5 linked regions of the Macaca mulatta genome follow. The protein of the gene in region 4 purifies or fractionates together with the protein of the main gene of each other region. This does not show direct contact. Links are inferred from orthologs where the notes say so. Each region holds a gene or a part of one and is shown on either strand. Other genes may lie near its edges.

Region 1 (3,513 bases), on a different chromosome or scaffold from region 4:
TGGGAGCAGGGAGGTGAAGGATTGTTCCTTCCTGTCCTGACCCCTTCTGGCCCCCTGAGCTGGAAGGGGGCAGGGTGAGTGGCTCCCTCCTCTCCCCACCAGCCATGGGCGGGCATAGCCTCACGTCTGGGCCCCCCTTCCAGAGGCGGGCACCAAGGAGGAGCCCGTGACAGCCGATGTCATCAATCCTATGGCCTTGCGACAGCGAGAGGAGCTGCGGGAGAAGCTGGCGGCTGCCAAGGAGAAGCGCCTGCTGAACCAAAAGCTGGGGTGAGGGGTCCTGGCCAGGGCAGGCAAGGGAAGGGCTGGGGAGGCCACCATCCTTGGCTGCCTTTTGAGTGGGGTTGGGAGCAGGAGCTGGGCTCCTGGAGCATCACTTTCTCCCCTCTTCAGGAAGATAAAGACCCTAGGAGAGGATGATCCCTGGCTGGACGACACTGCAGCCTGGATCGAGAGGAGCCGGCAGCTGCAGAAGGAGAAAGACCTGGCAGAGAAGAGGGTGAGCACCTGGGCAGCATGGGGTGGTTGCCCAGTGCTTTTGCTGGCCTGACTGGGCATTGAGGCAGGGGGTGGACCCCAGAGAGTTGAGACGGGGTTCGGAGAGGGGATGGGCTGTGGTTGGTAGCATCCGCTTTGGATTCTCAGCAACTTTCCTGCAAGGCCTGCTCTTTTTGCACTCCGCTTGGTAGAGCCCTGAGTGTTTTCTGGTGGTGCTGAGTGGCCTGAGGTCCTAGGTCACCCCTCCCTGTCCCATAGGCAAAGTTACTGGAGGAGATGGACCAAGAGTTTGGTGTCAGCACTCTGGTAGAGGAGGAGTTCGGGCAGAGACGGCAGGTGAGGCTGCAGCAGCCGGGGTGGGTGGTGCAGGGCACACTGGCGGCCTTGATGCTGGAATCCCAAGGTTGGGCGCATGGAGGGAGGTTCTTTACTCGCCTGATTCTTCTGTTAGGACCTGTACAGTGCCCGGGACCTGCAGGGCCTCACCGTGGAGCATGCCATTGATTCCTTCCGAGAAGGGGAGACCATGATCCTCACCCTTAAGGACAAAGGTGACGCGAGCTGGGTGCCTTGGGTCGGGGCACAGCCTCTGCTGAGTTGTGGACAAGTGTGAATGGCCACTGCTCTGTGCTGCCCGCAGGCGTGCTGCAGGAGGAGGAGGACGTGCTGGTGAACGTGAACCTGGTGGATAAGGAGCGGGCAGAGAAGAATGTGGAGCTGCGGAAGAAGAAGCCCGACTACCTGCCTTATGCCGAGGACGAGAGTGTGGACGACCTGGCGCAGGCACGGCCCAAGCAGGCTGGGCGGCGGGGGCTGGGGTGGAGAATGTCGGGAATAGGGGCTCTGAGGAGGTGGTGGCTCAGTGGCTTTTCAGGAGCCACCCTGGGTCCCAACCTGTACCTCTTACCTTGTAGCAAAAACCTCGCTCTATCCTGTCCAAGTACGACGAAGAGCTTGAGGGGGAGCAGCCGCATTCCTTCCGCTTGGAGCAGGGGGGCATGGCCGATGGCCTGCGGGAACGGGAGTTGGAGGAGATCCGGGCCAAGCTGCGGCTGCAGGCTCAGTCCCTGAGCACGGTGGGGCCCCGGCTGGCCTCCGAGTACCTCACACCCGAGGAGATGGTGAGCCCTCTTGCGCCTTGTACTTGGGGTCATGATTCTCCCTCCCCTTGGGGCTCCTGCGCTGCCCGCAGGCACTGGGAAGAGAGGGCAAGTATTTCTGTTCACAAAGCGCTTGGCCTCGTGGGCAAGCAGTAAATGGCAACCTGGGGAGGCACCAGGTGTTGACGGGTCAGGGCTGCTGAGCCAGATGGGCCCCAGTTGGTGTTTCTGCTCTGCCATACTGCCAGCTTGTGCCTTGGGTAAGCCATTTAACTGTGAGCCTGGGGTGCCCCATCTGGAGTGGCAGTGATAGGAGCCACCTCCTGAGGTTGCTGTGAGGATGAGTGACAGTGTGGCTGAGGGGTGACTGGAAAGGTGTGCGTGGATTCTGTCCGCAGAGTGACTGTGTGAACGTGAGGTAGTCAGCTGGTGTAGTAGGCGTCTTGCTCAGTGGGTAAGAGCAGGACTCTGGAGCCAGACTGCCCGGCTTTCCCACCTAGGAGCTGGGCGACCTTGGGGAAGGTACTTAACCTCTCTGTGCCCCAGTTTCCCTAATCACCAGTGGAAGGGAGATAGTAACCACCCCACGTGTTGCTCATGTGTGAGAAGTGCTCAGGACACTGGCTAGCACAGAAGAACACCAAAGAAGTGTTCATCCTCGCGGGCTTGTGGTGGCCTGCCTTTCCCCGCCCCGCCCCACGCCTCCCTCTTCCCCTCAGGTGGCCTTTAGAAGGACCAAGCGGAGGGTGAGGAAAATCCGCAAGAAGGAGAAGGAGGTCGTAGTGCGGGCGGATGACCTGTTGCCTCTCGGGGACCAGACTCAGGATGGGGACTTTGGTTCCAGGTGGGCTTGGACACCATGGTGGGGTGAGAGGGCTGGGCTGGGGTGTCCCGGGGGCCGGTGCTCACCAGAGAGGCCTCCTTCCCTCAGACTGCGGGGACGGGGTCGCCGCCGAGTGTCTGAGGTGGAGGAGGAGAAGGAGCCCGTGCCTCAGCCCCTGCCGTCGGATGACACCCGAGTGGAGAACATGGACATCAGTGATGAGGGTGAGGGCCTGGCCAGGGGGTGGGAGGGGGCAGGGACAGGAGCCCTGGGTTGGAGGAGATTGTCTGAGCAGGCATCCCCTGTGTATCCCCCAGAGGAAGGTGGAGCTCCACAGCCGGGGTCCCCGCAGGTGCTGGAGGAGGACGAGGCAGAGCTGGAGCTGCAGAAGCAGCTGGAGAAGGGACGCCGGCTGCGACAGTTACAGCAGCTGCAGCAGCTGCGAGACAGTGGCGAGAAGGTGAGGCTGGGCATGGGCAGGCCTGGGGCTACCAGTGCGTCAGCAGTCACCTGTCCTCACGAGCACATGTGTCATAGGCAACAGCCACATTCCTGTCTGAAGCCTCTTTTCCATTTGTTTTTTGTTTTCTGGGTTTTGTTTTTTTTTGAGACAAGTGTTTTGCTCTGTCGCCCAGGCTGGAGTGCAATGGCGTGGCCTCGGCTCACTGCAGCCTCCGCCTCCCTGGTTCAAGTGATTCTCATTCCTTAGCCTCCTGAGTGGCTGGGATTACAGGCACCTGCCACCACACCCGGCTAATTTTTGTATTTTTAGTAGAGACGGGGTTTCACCGTGTTGGCCAGGCTGGTCTCCAACTCCTGACCTCATGATCTGCCTGCCTCGGCCTCCAAAAATGCTAAGATTACAGGTGTGAGCCACTGCGACCAGCCCTGGTTAAAGTCATGTTTTCTGTTTAAAAGTCATGTTTTGCAAAAGTTTTTAGATGCCTGCTTTAGTAGGGGATCCTTTCCTGGCCTGTCTCTTCCTGTGCATGTTTGTTGAGTGCCTGCTGTGGGTAGTGCATTGTTCTTGGGCCGAGAAGGTCATTGGTGAACAGGACAGCCACGGGGCCCTGGACTCAGGGAAGTGGCTTT
Region 2 (4,236 bases), on a different chromosome or scaffold from region 4:
CCCGGCTAATTTTTGCATTTTTAGTAAAGGCGGGGTTTCAACATGTTGGCCAGGCTGGTCTCCAGCTCCTGGCCTCAAGTTATCCACCTGCCTCAGCCTCCCAAAATGCTGGGATTACGGACATGAGTCACTGTGCCTGGCCTGTGAAAAAACTGTTTTCTGAGCTTCCATTTGTGTATACATATGTTTATAGAACAAAACTGGTTCCCACACTGGCAGTGCAGGTAGGGCAGAACCAGAAGCAGGACAACACACACAGACACCACTAACAATAGGGCCGCTCCCTTAGGCCTGGTCTTAACCAGCTCTAGGCCAGGTGAAGAGGCTAACTCAACCATGACTGCCTGTCTCGCTATTGCTTTCTTTTCTCTAGTACAGATGCTCAGGGTCTAATCAGAGACTGATTCTCAACTGGCGCGACCAAGGGACAGTTATATTATCTCCAGTCTCAATTTCCTTATCAGTAATAACAGGCATTTTTATCCACACTTTTAGTTTGTGAGGAATAAGGCACGTAGAGGGTTTCACAGAGGGTCGGGAACAAGATCAACCCCTAACCAATGTTAGTCATTATGATTAATGACTTTTCCTAGTTTTTATTTTTGTCTTCCTTCTGCTCACTTTAGCCTAATCAGGGTGGGCGTGGTGACTCAAGCCTGTATTCCCAGCACTCTGGGAGGTAGAGGCGGGCGGATCACCTGAGGTCAGGAGTTCGAGACCAGACTGCCCAACATGGTGGAATCCGGTCTCTAATAATACAAAAATTAGCCAGGCGTGTTGGCAAGCGCCTGTAGTCCCAGGTACTCGGGAGACTGAGGCAGGAGAATCGCTTGAACCTGGGAGGCGAAGGTTGCAGTGAGCCGAGATGGTGTCACTGCACTCCAGCCTGGGCGACAGAGCGAGACTCCGTATGAAAAAAAAAAAAAAATTAACCTAATAGAGGAAAGCACGCGCCCACCCCCTCTCTGAGCATGCGCACCAACAGAATAGCCGCGCCCTTTTCTAATTAAACCATTAACCAAGGTGAGGGTAAGGAAGAAAAGGAGGCTTGGCTAAGTCCCACCCTGATGTGATCAGGTTAAAACTGTGTAAGGCACATTACATCATAGGTTAAAAGGCCTGGAAAACTCCGCGCTCTCCTTGCCAGAACTGCAGGCTTGCGGGCCAAGTCTCTGAGAACTCAGGGATTGTGAAACCCGCCCCGGCTCTGCGCTAGCAGCGGGATCCAGGCACCCGCAGCTAATTGGGGAGGGAGGTGACTGCCTGGCTGACTTTTCATTGGCCCAGAGTCACAAAGGCTGCAGGTTCTTCCCCCTTCCGGTCGCTGAGTGGTTGAGGCCGGAAAACAACGCTCATCGTCATTGGCTGAGCCCGGCTGTCAGTCCTTTCGCGTCTCGGCGGCGCGGCACAGCCCGGCGCGGCCTGTAAAGCAGTCTCAGGCCTGCTGCAGGGAGAAGATGGCGGTCGCAGTGAGAACTTTGCAGGAACAGCTAGAAAAGGCCAAAGAGAGCCTTAAGAACGTGGATGAGAATATTCGCAAGCTCACCGGGCGGGATCCGAATGACGTGAGGTAAGGGCTTAACGGGAACTCGGAGCTCGGAGAGGCAGCCCTCTGGTCGGGGTGAATTGGGGGCGGGGAGGGCGGCCAGCCTTCAGAAGGCTGGAACCTCGAGGCCTGTTCGCGGGGCGGCGGGTAAAACCATGTTCTCGCCGAGGTGGAAAAGCCCCAGGCCCCCATCGTAGAGCGCTGGTCTCAGGTTCCTGAGAAAGGAGAGCGAGTCCTGGATACGCCGGCATGGTTTCTCAGGCCTGTGAGAAGACCCAGACTACTGATTCCCGCCCTCGGCCCTGCAGGCCCGGAACTGCAGCACAAAGCCCCTTCCCGCTCTGGCGGGCACCCGGCCCAGGGCTGGCCCCGAGACCCTGCCGGGACGCCACTAGCCACTTCACCCCAACCTCTTGCCCACGTGCAGCTTCCTCGGGGATGGCGGGATGGGGACCTGATTCAGGCTTTTCAATGTGTGGGGGCATCGAGGTGATTATAATTTCTGTGATACAGGTCCTGGAGAAACGAGGAAGTTAAATGAAATAGTACGTCCTGTCCTGTTTCAGACACTTGGGTTTATTTGAAACTATCTTTTTGGAACTTTTGCGATTTTCTCCTTGGATCCATATCTCTGAAAGTAATTGGTGCAACTATGTGTGTCTGCATATGATCTTGCACTGATTTGTAAATCTCTTACAGGCCCATCCAAGCCAGATTGCTGGCCCTTTCTGGTCCTGGTGGAGGTAGAGGACGTGGTAGTTTATTACTGAGGTAAGATTTCCTTTGGACTTTACTCATGCTGAAACTACTGGTACTTTACTTACAAATATATTGGCTTGCACAAAACCTGTGATAAAATCGATAACCCAGTGTTTGTTGTCTTTGTTTAATGCTTGTGATAGACTAGGTTTCCGTATAAATACAGTTATCCTGAAAAACTGGAGGTCGAAGAATATATTAAGTGTACCAATTTTGAGTGAACTTAATTCTTATAGTTTAAAGTAACACTAAAAGCATTTTGGGAATGAATGCCCATTTAAGGCTACTTTAGTTGGAAAGGTTTTTAAAATTTCAACCATATTCTCTTGTCAAATGGAAATACCGTTTATCTTGTATTTCAAGTGCTTTATGTTGAACATTTTAAATTTCAGGCGTGGATTCTCAGATAGTGGAGGAGGACCCCCAGCCAAACAGAGAGACCTTGAAGGGGCAGTCAGTAGGTAGGTCTGTAAAAAGATTCCTGAAGTCTTCTTTAGTTTCTGATGTACAACACAAATACAAATATTTATTAATAATAATGCTGTTTGAGTAATATTACAATTGAGTAGTGTGCCACTTCCCCCCCCTCACAAGTTCTCTTGGTATTTGATTGAACTGAGTCAGTTCTCTCAAAACACAGTTCTGCACTCATGATAACCCACAGTTTATCAAAATAAAGGTCAGGTGAAGAGTAAATTTGGAAAAATTGTCAATTAGTACCATTTTTTTCTGACTTGTAATTGAAATACTTAACCAGTTTGAAATACTTAGAAAATACAGGAGAGCAGAGTTAGTTTGGGTGTTAGTTCACATGTTGTATTCTTTCTCTGCTGGAGGAAAGAATAAAATGGAATGGAGACTTGATAGAACAAAGCTTCTGGAAATGAGTCCTAGAAAGAGAGGGCATTTGCCTTTGGTGTGCAGTTACATAAATACCTCTGGTCATTTAAATTAATTTCTGGCCAGGTACAGTGGCTTATCCCTGTAATCCCAGCACTTTGGGAAGCCAAGGCCAGCAGATCACTTGAGCCCAGGAGTTCCAGACCAGCCTAGGTACATGGTGAAATCACATCCCTACAAAAAGTACAAAAAAGTTACCCAGGCATGCTGGCTCACGCCTGTAGTCCCAGCTTGGGAGGATGAGGCAAGAGGATCACTTGAACCTGGGAGGTCGAGGCTGCAGTGAACTGTGGTGGCACCACTGCACTTCAGCCTGGATGGTATAGTGAAACACTGTCTCAAAAAAAGTAATTTTGTCTATGACAGGCTGGGTGGGGAGCGTCGGACCAGAAGAGAATCACGCCAGGAAAGCGACCCAGAGGATGATGATGTTAAAAAGGTATTGAGATTGAAGGAACTTAAACGAATGTAGTACCTTCACTTTACTACATTTGAAAGCACACCACTCATATGCTAGTTAATTACTGAGATTTTCTTTTTCTGCAGCCAGCATTGCAGTCTTCAGTTGTAGCTACCTCCAAAGAGCGCACGCGTAGAGACCTTATCCAGGATCAAAATATGGATGAAAAGGGAAAGCAAAGGTATTTCCCTGGGGGAAAAAAACTCTTGTGAAATAATGCAGTTATAAGGAAAATTAAGGGATTGTTCAAGTGTCCTGTAGTGTTTCTTAGAAAATGATGGGTTTAAATGAAATGGATCCTGTTGACAGTAAATTTTCTTATTCTGTTCTTTAGGAACCGGCGAATATTTGGCTTGTTGATGGGTACCCTTCAAAAATTTAAACAAGAATCCACTGTTGCTACTGAAAGGGTATTTATCCAAGTTTTGTTTTGCATCATGTATTTAAGTTATCAAAGTAGTAGATTAATTTTTTTTTAAGCCTTAAAGCTGTTTTAAGACTTAATTGTAAACCTAAAATAAAGCCAAATGAAAACTTGGTTTAACTTTTTATAGAACAGCCTTACTTAAAC
Region 3 (3,513 bases), on a different chromosome or scaffold from region 4:
GCTGGGATTACAGGCATGAGCCACTGCCCCCAGCCTAATTTTTTTTTTTTTTTAAGAGATGGAATCTCACTGTGTCACCCAGGCTGCAGTGCAGTGACGTGATCTTGGCTCACTGCAGCCTCTGACTCCCAAGTTCAAGTGATTCTTCTGCCTCAGCCTCCCGAGTAGCTGGGATTACAGGCATGCACCACCACACCTGGCTAATTTTAGTATTTTTTAGTAGAGACAGGGTTTCACCATATTGGCCAGGCTGGTCTTGGACTCCTGACCTTAAGTGATCCACACTTTTTGGCCTCCCAAAGTGCTGGATTACAGGCGTGAGCCACGGCACACAGCCACATTTTTTTTAAAAGATGGGATTGTACTCTGTTGCCCAGGCTAGTCTTGAAACTCCTGAGCTCAAGCAGTGTGCCTGCCTGTACCTCCCAAAGTGCTGGGATTATAGATGTGAGCCATTGCACCCCGCTATCTGGCTAAATATTTTATTTTATTTTTTTTTGTGGAGACAAGGCCTTATTATGTTACCCAGGCTACAAATTTTTTTTTTTTGAAGTATCCTTTAGCTCAAAGGACTTTTTTTATACCTTTTTTTTTTTTTTTTTTCTGAAAATGTATCATTTCAACTCATTCACACCAAGCAGATGCCATGTACATAGTATAGTGGAGGATTCAAATGAGGTAAAAACAACTGGGCACAGTGGCTTACACGTGTAATCCTAGCATTTTGGAAGGCTGAGGAGGAGAATTGTTTAAAGCCAAGAGTTCAAGATCCACCTGGCTAACATAGCAAGACCCTGTCTCTTTTTTTTTTTTTTTTTTTTTTTTTTGAGACGGAGTCTCGCTCTGTCGCCCAGGCTGGAGTGCAGTGGCGCGATCTCGGCTCACTGCAAGCTCCGCCTCCCGGGTTCACGCCATTCTCCTGCCTCAGCCTCCTGAGTAGCTGGGACTACAGGCGCCCACAATCGCGCCCGGCTAATTTTTTGTATTTTTAGTAGAGACGGGGTTTCACCGTGGTCTCGATCTCCTGACCTTGTGATCCGCCCGCCTCGGCCTCCCAAAGTGCTGGGATTACAGGCGTGAGCCACCGCGCCCGGCAACCCTGTCTCAAAAAAAGAGATAAAAACTATATTCTTTGCTCTTATTAGGAGCTTCTAAGGAGTCAAGGTTGACATGTGAAACAACGAGCGAGTTCTGTTAGACCATAAAGATTACTGCTGGACCGTGGCACTGAGTAAAAATAAGTGCAGTAGGAGTTAAAATGTGCAAAAATCAATGTTAGCTGGAGTGTTGATGTTGAGTTCATGAAGGAGTGGAGGTGGGACTTGAATTGGCAGGACATAGGAGTTTGAATGGTTAGGGGAGAGAGATTCTAGAAAGGAGTAGCAATATGAGAAAAGTTACATAGATACAGCATTGTCCTGAATATGGGCATTTGGAAATTCAGGACTGAGTGATGATGGACTGTCATAGGATATGTATATATTTATGTATATGTGTATTTATGCACTCACACATGCATAGATGTTTCTAGTTTCATATATATAGGAAACTATGTATGTGAATATATAGTTATATATATAGAGATTATCTATATTTTATATATCATATGTATTTTACAAATATTTGCAAAAAATAGTGAACTTTGTTTCCCCAGTCAATGTCTTATGCCATCTAGAGAAAGAAGTAACTAATGTGCTAGTCTTTCTTGCTAGTTTTTTTATGAGAGAACTTCATGCGGAGGATTCATTTTATGAATGACATAATATTTGTTTTTCGCGGATGTTAACATGTTCCGGTAGAAAATAATGAAAGGAAAAGCAAACCTGATCTGTGCCTTCTAGTATCTGCCCTTCTATTACAGCCTTTCACCCTTCCCTATAGGCCGAGGTTTGAAGTCTCACGCCTACATTCACAGTGTCCAATTTAGCCACCATGTTTTCCTCAACCTCCATACCCTCAAGTTTTACTGCCTTCCAGACAACTATGAGATCATCGATTCCTCATTGGAGGATATCACGGTGTGTGTCTAAGAGGGTTGGTTTGGGGTCCATTCTTTAATGAGCCATCCCAGGGCTCCCAGGGGACTGCCCCATCTGAGGACAGGGAAGAATCTCAGTCCTTTTGGGCATCGAGAGGCTGCTTTCCCTTTTGGGAAGAACTGGGGAAACTGAGTAAGGTCAGAATTCATAATTGCAGCCTGTAGTCTATAACTTAACTGTCATTTCTACTTGTAACATTGAGGGCTAGGACTGAAGAAATATGGGTGTATTCTGATGGGGTTTAAAGTGTTTTTGTGAAATTATTCTTCCACACTTTGAAGCAGGGATATGAATTGGTCCTGGTGTAGGACAATATTTACCAAGCTGCACACCAGCTTCTGGCTGCTTTTAACATATGATGGGACCAGAGCATCCAGCCACAGATGTCTCATCTCTGGGCTCTAGTTTGTGGCCTGTACCAAGAGACACTCATTGTGCTGAGCATGGGCTTTGATTAGTGTTGGGTTTTTGATTATTATTTTCCTTTTCAGCACTTGGGGCATATTCATGGTGCCAAGTGCTCTGTTTTGTTTTTGTTTTTTAGACGGAGTCTCGCTCTGTCGCCCAGGCTGGAGTGTGGTGGCACCATCACAGCTCACTGCAGCCTCGACCTCATGGGTTCAAGTGATCCTCCTACCTCAGCCTCCCACCTCAGCCTCCCAAGTAGCTAGGACTATAGGCATTACCATCATGGCCAGATAAATTTTTAAAATTTTTTGTAGAGATGGGGTCTCACTGTGTTGCCCAGGTTGGTCATGTTCTGTTTATTTTTAAGGAAATGGTGGTATTTAGTCTTTGAAATATTGCTTTTTCTACTTGTAAAAATTTTATAAGCCTATTATTAGTAGTTGAGATTAAAATAGTTATGGACAGGCTGGGTGCGGAGGCTCACGCCTGTAATCTGAGCACTTTGGGAGGCGGAGGCAGGTGGGTCATTTGAGGTCAGGAGTTTGAGACCAGCCTGACCAACATGATGAGACCCCATTTCTACTAAAAATACAAAATTACCCTGGCATGGTGACACATGCCTGTAATCCCAGCTACTTGGGAGGCTGAGGTGGGAGAATTGCTTGAATCTGGGAGTGGGAGGTTGCAGTGAACCGAGATCGTGCCATGGCACTCCAGCCTGGGCAACAAGAGTGAAACTCCGTCTAAAAAAAAAAGTATGGACAGTATTTATAGAGGGAGAAACTGGGCTAAATTCAGTGTTTCAAAGTGAGTTTGGGATGACCTCTGTCCAGTCTGTGACATAATGACTCTGGTAACTGCCTGAGAAGAGTCTGATCCTGCTCTTCCAGTACCAGGGACTCGTGGAGATCCTCAGTCTCACCCAGAATGGAGGAAACTCTCCTGCTCCAAAGCTAGGTACATGTGCTGCTCCCGGGAGGTTCTATCTGAGACTTAGACTGCCTTTAGGAACTTAATAGTTTCTGGCAGTCAGTTTTCATGAGTTGACCAGATCTGAGGTCTATGA
Region 4 (3,513 bases):
AGAGACGAGGTTTCCCCATGTTGGCCAGGCTGTTCTCGAACTCTTGACCTCAAGTGATCGCCTGCCTTGGTCTCCCAAAATGTTGGAATTACAGGCATGAGCCACTGTGCCTGGCCCGTTTACATTTTTTAACTGGTCTTTGAGATTGCGCGTGTGGGCGAGCAGATTAAATAAGAGTTTCCTCAGATGACCCTATCAAGAAAGCACTACCAAGAAGTAAGCACTGCAGATCTGAGTCAAAGTCTACCTTGCTCATTTTGGCTGGATCAGAGAAAGATTCTTGGGTTCTGTATACTGTGCTGAAACATGCAAGACAGGTTGTGTTTTTAGGTTTTTATTAAATGAGGAAGGCTGGGTGCAATGGCTCACGCCTGTAGTCCAGCGCTTTGGGGAGGCTGGGACAGGTGGATCACCTGAGGTCGGGAGTTCGAGACCAGCTTGACCGACATGGAGAAATCCTGTCTCTACTAAAAATACAAAATTAGCTGGGTGTGATGGCTCATGCCTGTAATCCCAGCTACTCGAGGCTGAGGCAGGAGAATCGCTTGAAGCTGGGAGATGGAGGTTGCAGTGAGCCGAGATCACACCATTGCACTACAGCCTGGACAACAAGAACTAAACTCCGTCTCAAAAAATAATAATAAATTAGGAAAATACTGTAATGTTATTATTTGATTATGTAGACAAACCTATTTACAGTCTGACTGTTCAGATTAAATAGTTGTGTCCAAACCTGGAATAACATTAAGAAATGTTCAAAACCTGTTTTGAAAAATTAAGCTGTAGAAAGGCCTGTTGTAATACAAATATCACATTAAACGAGTAAAACTCACTGAAAGGTACTTCTGTGATAAGTATTGAAAAGTTGGGTTTTTGTGGGGTTTTTTGGGGAGGCTGGAGGCAAGGTCACACTCTTGTCATCCAGGCTGGAGTGCAGTGGCATTATCTCTGCTCACTGCAGCTTCTGCCTCCCAGACTCACGCCATCCTCCCACTTGAGCCTCCCTAGTAGTTGGGACTATCTTCACATGCCACCACACTTGTCTAATTTTTATATTTTTTGTAGAGATAGGGTTTCGCCATGTTACCCAGGCTGGTCTCAAACTCCTGAGCTTAAGTGATCCGTCTGCCTCAGCTTCCCAAAGTGCTGGGATTACGAGTGTGAGCCACCACACCTAGCTATTGTTTTTGGTTTTTTGAGACAAGTTCTCACTCTGTCACTTGGGCTGCAATGGCACAAACACAGCTACTGCAGCCTCAACCTCGTGGGCTCAGGTGATCCTCCCTCAGCCTCTGAAAGTGCTGGGATTACAAGTGTGAACCACTGTGCCTGGCCTATTATACTTGACATTAAAAATAAGATTTTTGGCCAGGCATGGTGGCTCACGCCTGTAACCTCAGCACTTTTGGAGGCCAAGGGAGAACCACTTGAGGCCAGGAGTTCGAGACCAACCTGGGCAACACAGCGAGACCCCCATCACTACAAAACAAAATTAGTCAGGTGTGGTGGCATACCCTTAACGGTTCCAGCTACTCAGGGCGGGCTGAAATGGAAGGATTGCCTGAGCCTGGGAGGTCAAGGCTGCAGTGACCCATGTTCGCGCCACTGCACTCCAGTCTAGGTGACAGAGTTAGACCCTGTCTCAAAAAAAAAAAAAAAAAGAAGAGATCCTTAATTGGAGAAATGTCAAAATGTAGAAAGAAAAAGTCTTCAATGGAAATGGGATATTTGAGTAAATGGAATATTATACTCACGTGGGCAGGTTTTATTTGGGTTGTTTATTTGAAATTAGAATCAGTAACTTTACTGGTATGAATAACCTTTAGTAATTCTTCAAATTGTGGGACCAGAGGAAATAAGACCTTTCATTGTTTGCCTGCAATAACACTAAAATGTCATTGTGGCCATCTGAGTAAGTTTTGTTACAAAACACATTAATTAGAGTTCACTCTCTTTAGGCTAGTGTGCCTTTTCTTACAGATATTCCTTGCATATAGAAAAAAAATCATTTACTTTGATTTATTTTTCTTTTAACTTGCATTTGATCCCCTTAAGAACACGACCTCGAGATGATATCCTCAGTAGACGTGAAAGATCAAAAGATGCCAGCCCCATCAATAGATGGTCTCCAACCCGAAGAAGAAGTAGGTCTCCCATTAGAAGGAGGTCTCGTTCCCCACTCAGACGTAGCAGGTCTCCAAGAAGAAGAAGCAGGTCTCCTCGGAGAAGGTAAAGACATTTCATCCTTGTGATTCATTAAACTCTGAATGTTTTTAAACCACCCATGAGCTCAGTTGGTAGGTTTTCTTTTGACCAGTTTTCTCTGAAAAATCGTAGTTGTGTTCCCAGTTTCCTTTTACCAGCAGTCTTTACACGTGGGTTTTCTTTTATATCGTTTCCTTTGAATTTTAACCAAATCATTACTCATTTAAGATGCAATAAAATTAATCTTTTAAGAGTAGGACTTTTTTCTCTCTTTTATGAGAGATAAATATTAAATGAGCCAGGCTTAGGGATTTTTTTTTTTTTTAACTGGCAAGGTAGATCATATAGTAGTAAATATGTAGTCCAGTTTCTTATCATTTTATATTAATTTTGCATATTGATAGTTACTGTAGACTTTGGCCAAGGCCTATTTAATTTGCCATAGAAACCACTTTATCTGAAGCATATGTAATCAGTAGTAGGTTAAAAAGGTGGTTTATAAAGCAGGGAATCATTTTTTAAAATTCATACATACATGAAATATTTTGATATAAAACATAAATGGGTATTTGTTCGCCCATCTTTTAACATTTTTAATTGAAGTAATAAATGAATGTAATTCTTAAAAAACAAAGGCTTATATTGTAGTCATCTCTACATATCTCTCAGAATTTTTGTATGCTGTATTCCTAGAAGTGGAAATGCATGGTCTGAGTACACTCTGGACAATGAGGGGTTTTATTTATTTGTTTTTTTTTTAGACAAAGTCTCACTCTGTTGCCCAGGCTGGAGTGCAATGGCGCAATCTCACTGCAACCTCCACCTCCCGAGTTCAAGCAATTCTTCTGCCTCAGCCTCTCAAGTAGCTGGGACTACAGAGGTGCGCGTGCCACCATGCCCGGCTAAATTTTTTTTTTTTTTTTTTGTATTTTTTTAAATAGAGGTGGAGTTTCACCATGTTGGTCAGGCTGGTCTCAAACTCCTGACCCCAAGTGATCCGCCCGTCTCTGCCTCCTGAAGTGCGGGGATTAGAAGCATGAGCTGCTGCACGCAGCCACAATGAGGGTTTTTAATACCCCCCCTCACCCATGTTTCTCTTTTGCCTATTTTCATCACACGTTTTTGTTCTTCTAGAGTCAGTATAATCATTGTGATCATGTATGTATTCATTGCTGGGCAAATAGTTGGGGGAGGAGGGCAGAGAGGACCTGCCTTCTGAGACGGCTAGTCTGCTGGCTCCAAGCTCATCTTACGACTTGCTTTTTTCTCTCTCCCCTTTTTATAAAAAATTTCTTGTGTTCTGAAATT
Region 5 (4,094 bases), on a different chromosome or scaffold from region 4:
AAACCCTGTCTCTACTAAAAATACAAAAATTAGGCCGGGCGCAGTGGCTCACGCCTGTAATCCCAGCACTTTGGGAGGCCGGGGCAGGTAGATCACAAGATCAGGAGATTGCAACCGTCCTGGCTAACAGGGTGAAACCCCGTCTCTACTAAAAAATACAAAAAACTAGCCAGGCGAGGTGGCGGGTGCCTATAGTCCCAGCTACTCGGCAGGCTGAGGCAGGAGAATGGTGTGAACCCGGGAGGCGGAGCTTGCAGTGAGCCGAAATAGCGCCACTGCACTCCAGCCTGGGTGACAGACTCCGTCATCCCAAAAAAAAAAAAAAAATTAGCCGGGCATGGTGGCGGGCACCTGTAATCCCAGCTACTCAGGAGGCTGAGGCAGGAGAATCACTTGAACCGGGAGGCGGAGGTTGCAGTGAGCTAATACCACACTACTGCACTCCAGTCTGGCCACAGAGCAAGACTCTGTCTCAAAAATAAATAAATAAATAAATATAACAGTAATAGGCCGGGCATGGTGGCTCACACCTGTAATCTCAGCACTTTGGGAGGCCAAGGTGTGCAGATCATCTGAGGTCAGGAGTTCGAGACCAGCCTGGCTAACATGGTGAAACCACGTTGCTACTAAAACTACAAAAAATTAGTTGGGCATAGTGGCACGCATCTGTAGTCCCAGCTACTCAGGAGGCTGAGGCAGGAGAATCGCTTGAACCCGGGAGGCGGAGGTTGTAGTGAGCTGAGATTGCACCATTGCACTCCAGCTTGGGCAACAAGAGCAACTGTATTTTTCTTTTTTTTTTTTCTTTTTTTTTTGAGACGGAGTCTTGCTGTGTCGTCCAGGCTGGAGTGCAGTGGCCGGATCTCGGCTCACTGCAAGCTCCGCCTCCCGGGTTCACGCCATCCTCCTGCCTCAGCCTCCCGAGTAGCTGGGACTACAGGCGCCCGCCACCTCGCCCGGCTAGTTTTTTGTATTTTTTAGTAGAGATGGGGTTTCACCATGTTAGCCAAGATGGTCTCGATCTCCTGACCTCGTGATCCGCCCGTCTCGGCCTCCCAAAGTGCTGGGATTACAGGCTTGAGCCACCGCGCCCGGCCTGTATTTTTCTTACACGTGTCATTTTTGCAAAATATAATTATATTTTCCAAAACAAATGAGCAGGAATGGCATTGGTTTTTCCATTTTTGCAAATCTCTTCAGTCTGACTGACAGAAGACAGCTGGACCCACGTGCCTCGTGCCCTCTGGAGACCCTCCTGGGTTCTTGTGAACTGAGTGACAGGGCAGACAGTGTCTGTGTTACTGCTGAGCCACATAGACCTGAAAGGGCCTCGGGGACCCCCAGCCGTCCTGACCACACCCCAAGAGCTGGGGCCCAGATGGAAAGACAGGGAGGTTGTCCTGGCTGGCTTTGATGGGTGGAACTTAAACCAGAGGACAAGGGGGCCTGGCCACCCGCACAGCCACTCCCAGACACAGAGAACAGGCAGGGGGCTTCAGACCCCTTCCTGAGTAGTTCTCTGAGTTTGTCGGGCGTAGGAAGAGGAAGCTGCTCACCTTTGTCCCTAAGCCCAGGGCAGTGTCCTGTGTGGTTGGTCTGGAACAGCCTCGCTGTCCTTCCCTGGGTTTGGAACCAGGGCCACTGGGGTCCTGCAGACCTTTGTTCACGCATGAGCCTTGGGCCTGCGCCGGGCAGTGGACCCTGCCTAGGCTGCCGCGCCTCCCTCCTAACATTGCCAGAGTGACACTCGTGGTCTCTCGGCTTTGCTTGTATGTCTTTACTGCCATGTCTTTTTTGTTGTTCTGTATTTGAAGCCCCATGTGATAAATTTCTTCAAAGCTAGGAAGGAGTTTTGTCTCTCTGCGCAAGATACTGGCTACTTGGTGGAACCTGGAGCCCAGGTTTGGCCTCAGCCTCATTTCCGGATGCCTTGGTGTCCACATGTCTCTTCTCTTCTACTTGGCTCTTCCCTTTTTATTTCTTTATAAAAATGAAGGAGGTGAACTAAGCAGCCTCAGGCTTTAGAAGTGAGTCCCTGGTGTTGGTGAGGCCACCCACACTGCCATCCCCTGTAAGCCAGGAGGGTGGTCTCACTCTGTACCTATCACCCAGGTTCTCGAGACCGGAAGTCAGGTGGGAGACTGGGCTCCCCGAAGCCAGAGCGACAGAGAGGCCAGAACTCCAAAGCCCCTGCAGCCCCGGCTGACAGGTGAGTGGACCCAGCATGTGCCCTGGGCACACCGAGGGTGGCTAGCCTGAGCCTCTTTCCCAGGGAGGCCAGCAGCAGCAGGGCTAGCACTGGGCCAGGTTGGAGGTGCTCCAGCTCCTGTAGCTCCTGCTGGGCTGATGTGGTGAGGGACAGGGACAGGGAAGGGCAACCCCACTCCCGCACACACACTCCTGCCCTGGTCGAGGCTGGAGGCTGCCCTCTGCTCCCCATGTCCTTGGGCAAAGAGCTCTGGGCACGGAGGTGGGAAGAAGAGCAGGTTGTGTGGGGCCAGCCCAGGACCCTCCCAGTCTCTACTCCACAAAGCCCGGCAGCCAGTGGCTAGGACCAGGCCTGCTTGTGGCAATGGGAGCCTGGCCATCCCGGGAGCCCCTTGCCTCTCCTGGTGGCCACTGAGCACTCAGTGGAAGTTCCCCTTCAGGGAGGGCACCGCACTGCTGCTTCCACCTCAGACGTGGCTTCTGGGGGCTCAAGGTCTTCCCCACCCCCTTGTAGGAAGCGCCAGCTGTCACCACAGTCCAAGAGCTCCAGCAAGGTCACGAGCGTGCCCGGCAAAGCCTCGGATCCCGGCGCCGCCAGCACCAAATCAGGGAAGGCCAGCACGCTGTCGCGGCGGGAGGAGCTGCTGAAACAGCTGAAGGCCGTGGAGGACGCTATTGCGCGCAAGCGGGCCAAGATCCCCGGGAAAGCATAGGCCGTGCCCCTGACCGGACTGGACGCATTTTTATACATAGGGTAAGCGCAGCCATTTTGGATTTTGCAGTTAATGTCTTATTTTGGCTGTGATTCTTTTTAAAAAGTAAAAAAGAAAAAAAAGTTTCTCAGCTGGAAAAGAAGCCACACAGGAGATGACGACGACGCTGAGTCCCAGCCTCCCTCCCCAGAGCAGAAGTCCCACAGGACAGACACAGACAGCGCGAGTGACCAGCACAGTTCTCATGTAAATTACAAGCCCCAGCCGCCAGCCCCGCCTTCTCTTCCTCCTCCACCGTCTTCTTCCCTGGCCCTGGTCAGGCCTGGGCCTGTGGAGCCCCAGCTCTGCGTCCCCAGCCCGGGTCCAGGCAGCCAGGCTCCCTCCTGAGCTGAGAAATGGAACCTCGAGAACCACTGGTGGCACCTCCTTCTCCTCCCCGCCCCCGATCACCCGCCCCCGGATCAGAAATATATCTATATTCTCGACTAAAGTCTCATCAGGAAATACTTCCTGTCTTTTATTTTAAGCATCAAATTGTTTTAGTTGATTTAAACAGGAAAAAATACAGAAAAGACCAAAAAAAAAAGGCCAAGGGTATTGTTGGGGCGTCTGTCTAATGTGGAGGGTCTTTTTTGAGGGGTCTCCTAAAATAAAATATTTTGATAAGCAGCTGTTCTTGCCCTTGTGGTGTGTGCGCCGTCTGCCCAGGCACAGCCCGTCTGCCTCTGTGTCGTGCGCTGCACTTGGCCCAGCACTCGGGAGCCGCTGGGGGCGAGGGTGTGGCTGCGCGCTCACTCCCCCTGGGAGGACCGGCCATGCAGCAGCTCCTGCCTTCAGACCCCAGCCCAGGGAAGCACTGCACCTCAGTTTCTCCATTTGTGGGGCTGTGTTGGGCGTTCCTTGGTTCATGAGATGGAGGTACCTTCCCTGCAGGGGCTATGGAGCTGCTGGAGGGGAAGAGGTCCGGGGCTGACTCCCAGCCCTGAGCCCAGCTGCCACCTCTGCAGTGACCACCACCGGCTCCGTGTGCAGGCCCCAGACCTGCTGAGCCAGGCCCCATGTGTGATGCCACGTTCCACAGCAGGGGCCACCAGCAGAGCCCCCCAGGAGCCCCCGCTGTCGCTCTCTGCTCTCCACCTTGAAAGCCACAGGCCTGCACCTGGGCAGAGGCCT

What was found.
Region 1: the proteins of PRP4K (region 4) and SART1 purify together in Homo sapiens (affinity purification with mass spectrometry; 3 studies listed by BioGRID and IntAct, with this or other methods). This does not show direct contact. The link is inferred for Macaca mulatta from reciprocal best matches to the Homo sapiens genes PRP4K and SART1.
Region 2: the proteins of PRP4K (region 4) and PNN purify together in Homo sapiens (affinity purification with mass spectrometry; 5 studies listed by BioGRID and IntAct, counting the BioPlex papers as one, with this or other methods). This does not show direct contact. The link is inferred for Macaca mulatta from reciprocal best matches to the Homo sapiens genes PRP4K and PNN.
Region 3: the proteins of PRP4K (region 4) and USP39 purify together in Homo sapiens (affinity purification with mass spectrometry; 3 studies listed by BioGRID and IntAct, with this or other methods). This does not show direct contact. The link is inferred for Macaca mulatta from reciprocal best matches to the Homo sapiens genes PRP4K and USP39.
Region 5: the proteins of PRP4K (region 4) and ZC3H18 purify together in Homo sapiens (co-immunoprecipitation; 4 studies listed by BioGRID and IntAct, counting the BioPlex papers as one, with this or other methods). This does not show direct contact. The link is inferred for Macaca mulatta from reciprocal best matches to the Homo sapiens genes PRP4K and ZC3H18.

What each region holds. Positions count from the first base shown.
Region 1 is NC_133419.1:8,451,983-8,455,495, reverse strand, and holds part of SART1 (U4/U6.U5 tri-snRNP-associated protein 1), read left to right. Parts: intron 1-143; coding exon 144-270; intron 271-393; coding exon 394-499; intron 500-756; coding exon 757-834; intron 835-949; coding exon 950-1,049; intron 1,050-1,138; coding exon 1,139-1,281; intron 1,282-1,412; coding exon 1,413-1,619; intron 1,620-2,317; coding exon 2,318-2,442; intron 2,443-2,529; coding exon 2,530-2,645; intron 2,646-2,738; coding exon 2,739-2,881; intron 2,882-3,513. UniProt on the Homo sapiens protein: Plays a role in mRNA splicing as a component of the U4/U6-U5 tri-snRNP, one of the building blocks of the spliceosome. May also bind to DNA.
Region 2 is NC_133412.1:112,287,992-112,292,227, forward strand, and holds the start of PNN (pinin), read left to right. Parts: upstream 1-1,426; 5' UTR 1,427-1,457; coding exon 1,458-1,570; intron 1,571-2,245; coding exon 2,246-2,317; intron 2,318-2,697; coding exon 2,698-2,766; intron 2,767-3,571; coding exon 3,572-3,644; intron 3,645-3,751; coding exon 3,752-3,846; intron 3,847-3,999; coding exon 4,000-4,075; intron 4,076-4,236. UniProt on the Homo sapiens protein: Transcriptional activator binding to the E-box 1 core sequence of the E-cadherin promoter gene; the core-binding sequence is 5'CAGGTG-3'. Capable of reversing CTBP1-mediated transcription repression.
Region 3 is NC_133418.1:38,768,985-38,772,497, reverse strand, and holds part of USP39 (ubiquitin carboxyl-terminal hydrolase 39), read left to right. Parts: intron 1-1,881; coding exon 1,882-2,018; intron 2,019-3,513.
Region 4 is NC_133409.1:179,203,381-179,206,893, reverse strand, and holds part of PRP4K (serine/threonine-protein kinase PRP4 homolog), read left to right. Parts: intron 1-2,055; coding exon 2,056-2,229; intron 2,230-3,513. UniProt on the Homo sapiens protein: Serine/threonine kinase involved in spliceosomal assembly as well as mitosis and signaling regulation. Connects chromatin mediated regulation of transcription and pre-mRNA splicing.
Region 5 is NC_133425.1:84,020,947-84,025,040, forward strand, and holds the end of ZC3H18 (zinc finger CCCH domain-containing protein 18), read left to right. Parts: intron 1-1,052; exon of another isoform or gene 1,053-2,112; coding exon 2,113-2,209; exon of another isoform or gene 2,210-2,722; coding exon 2,723-2,921; 3' UTR 2,922-3,590; downstream 3,591-4,094.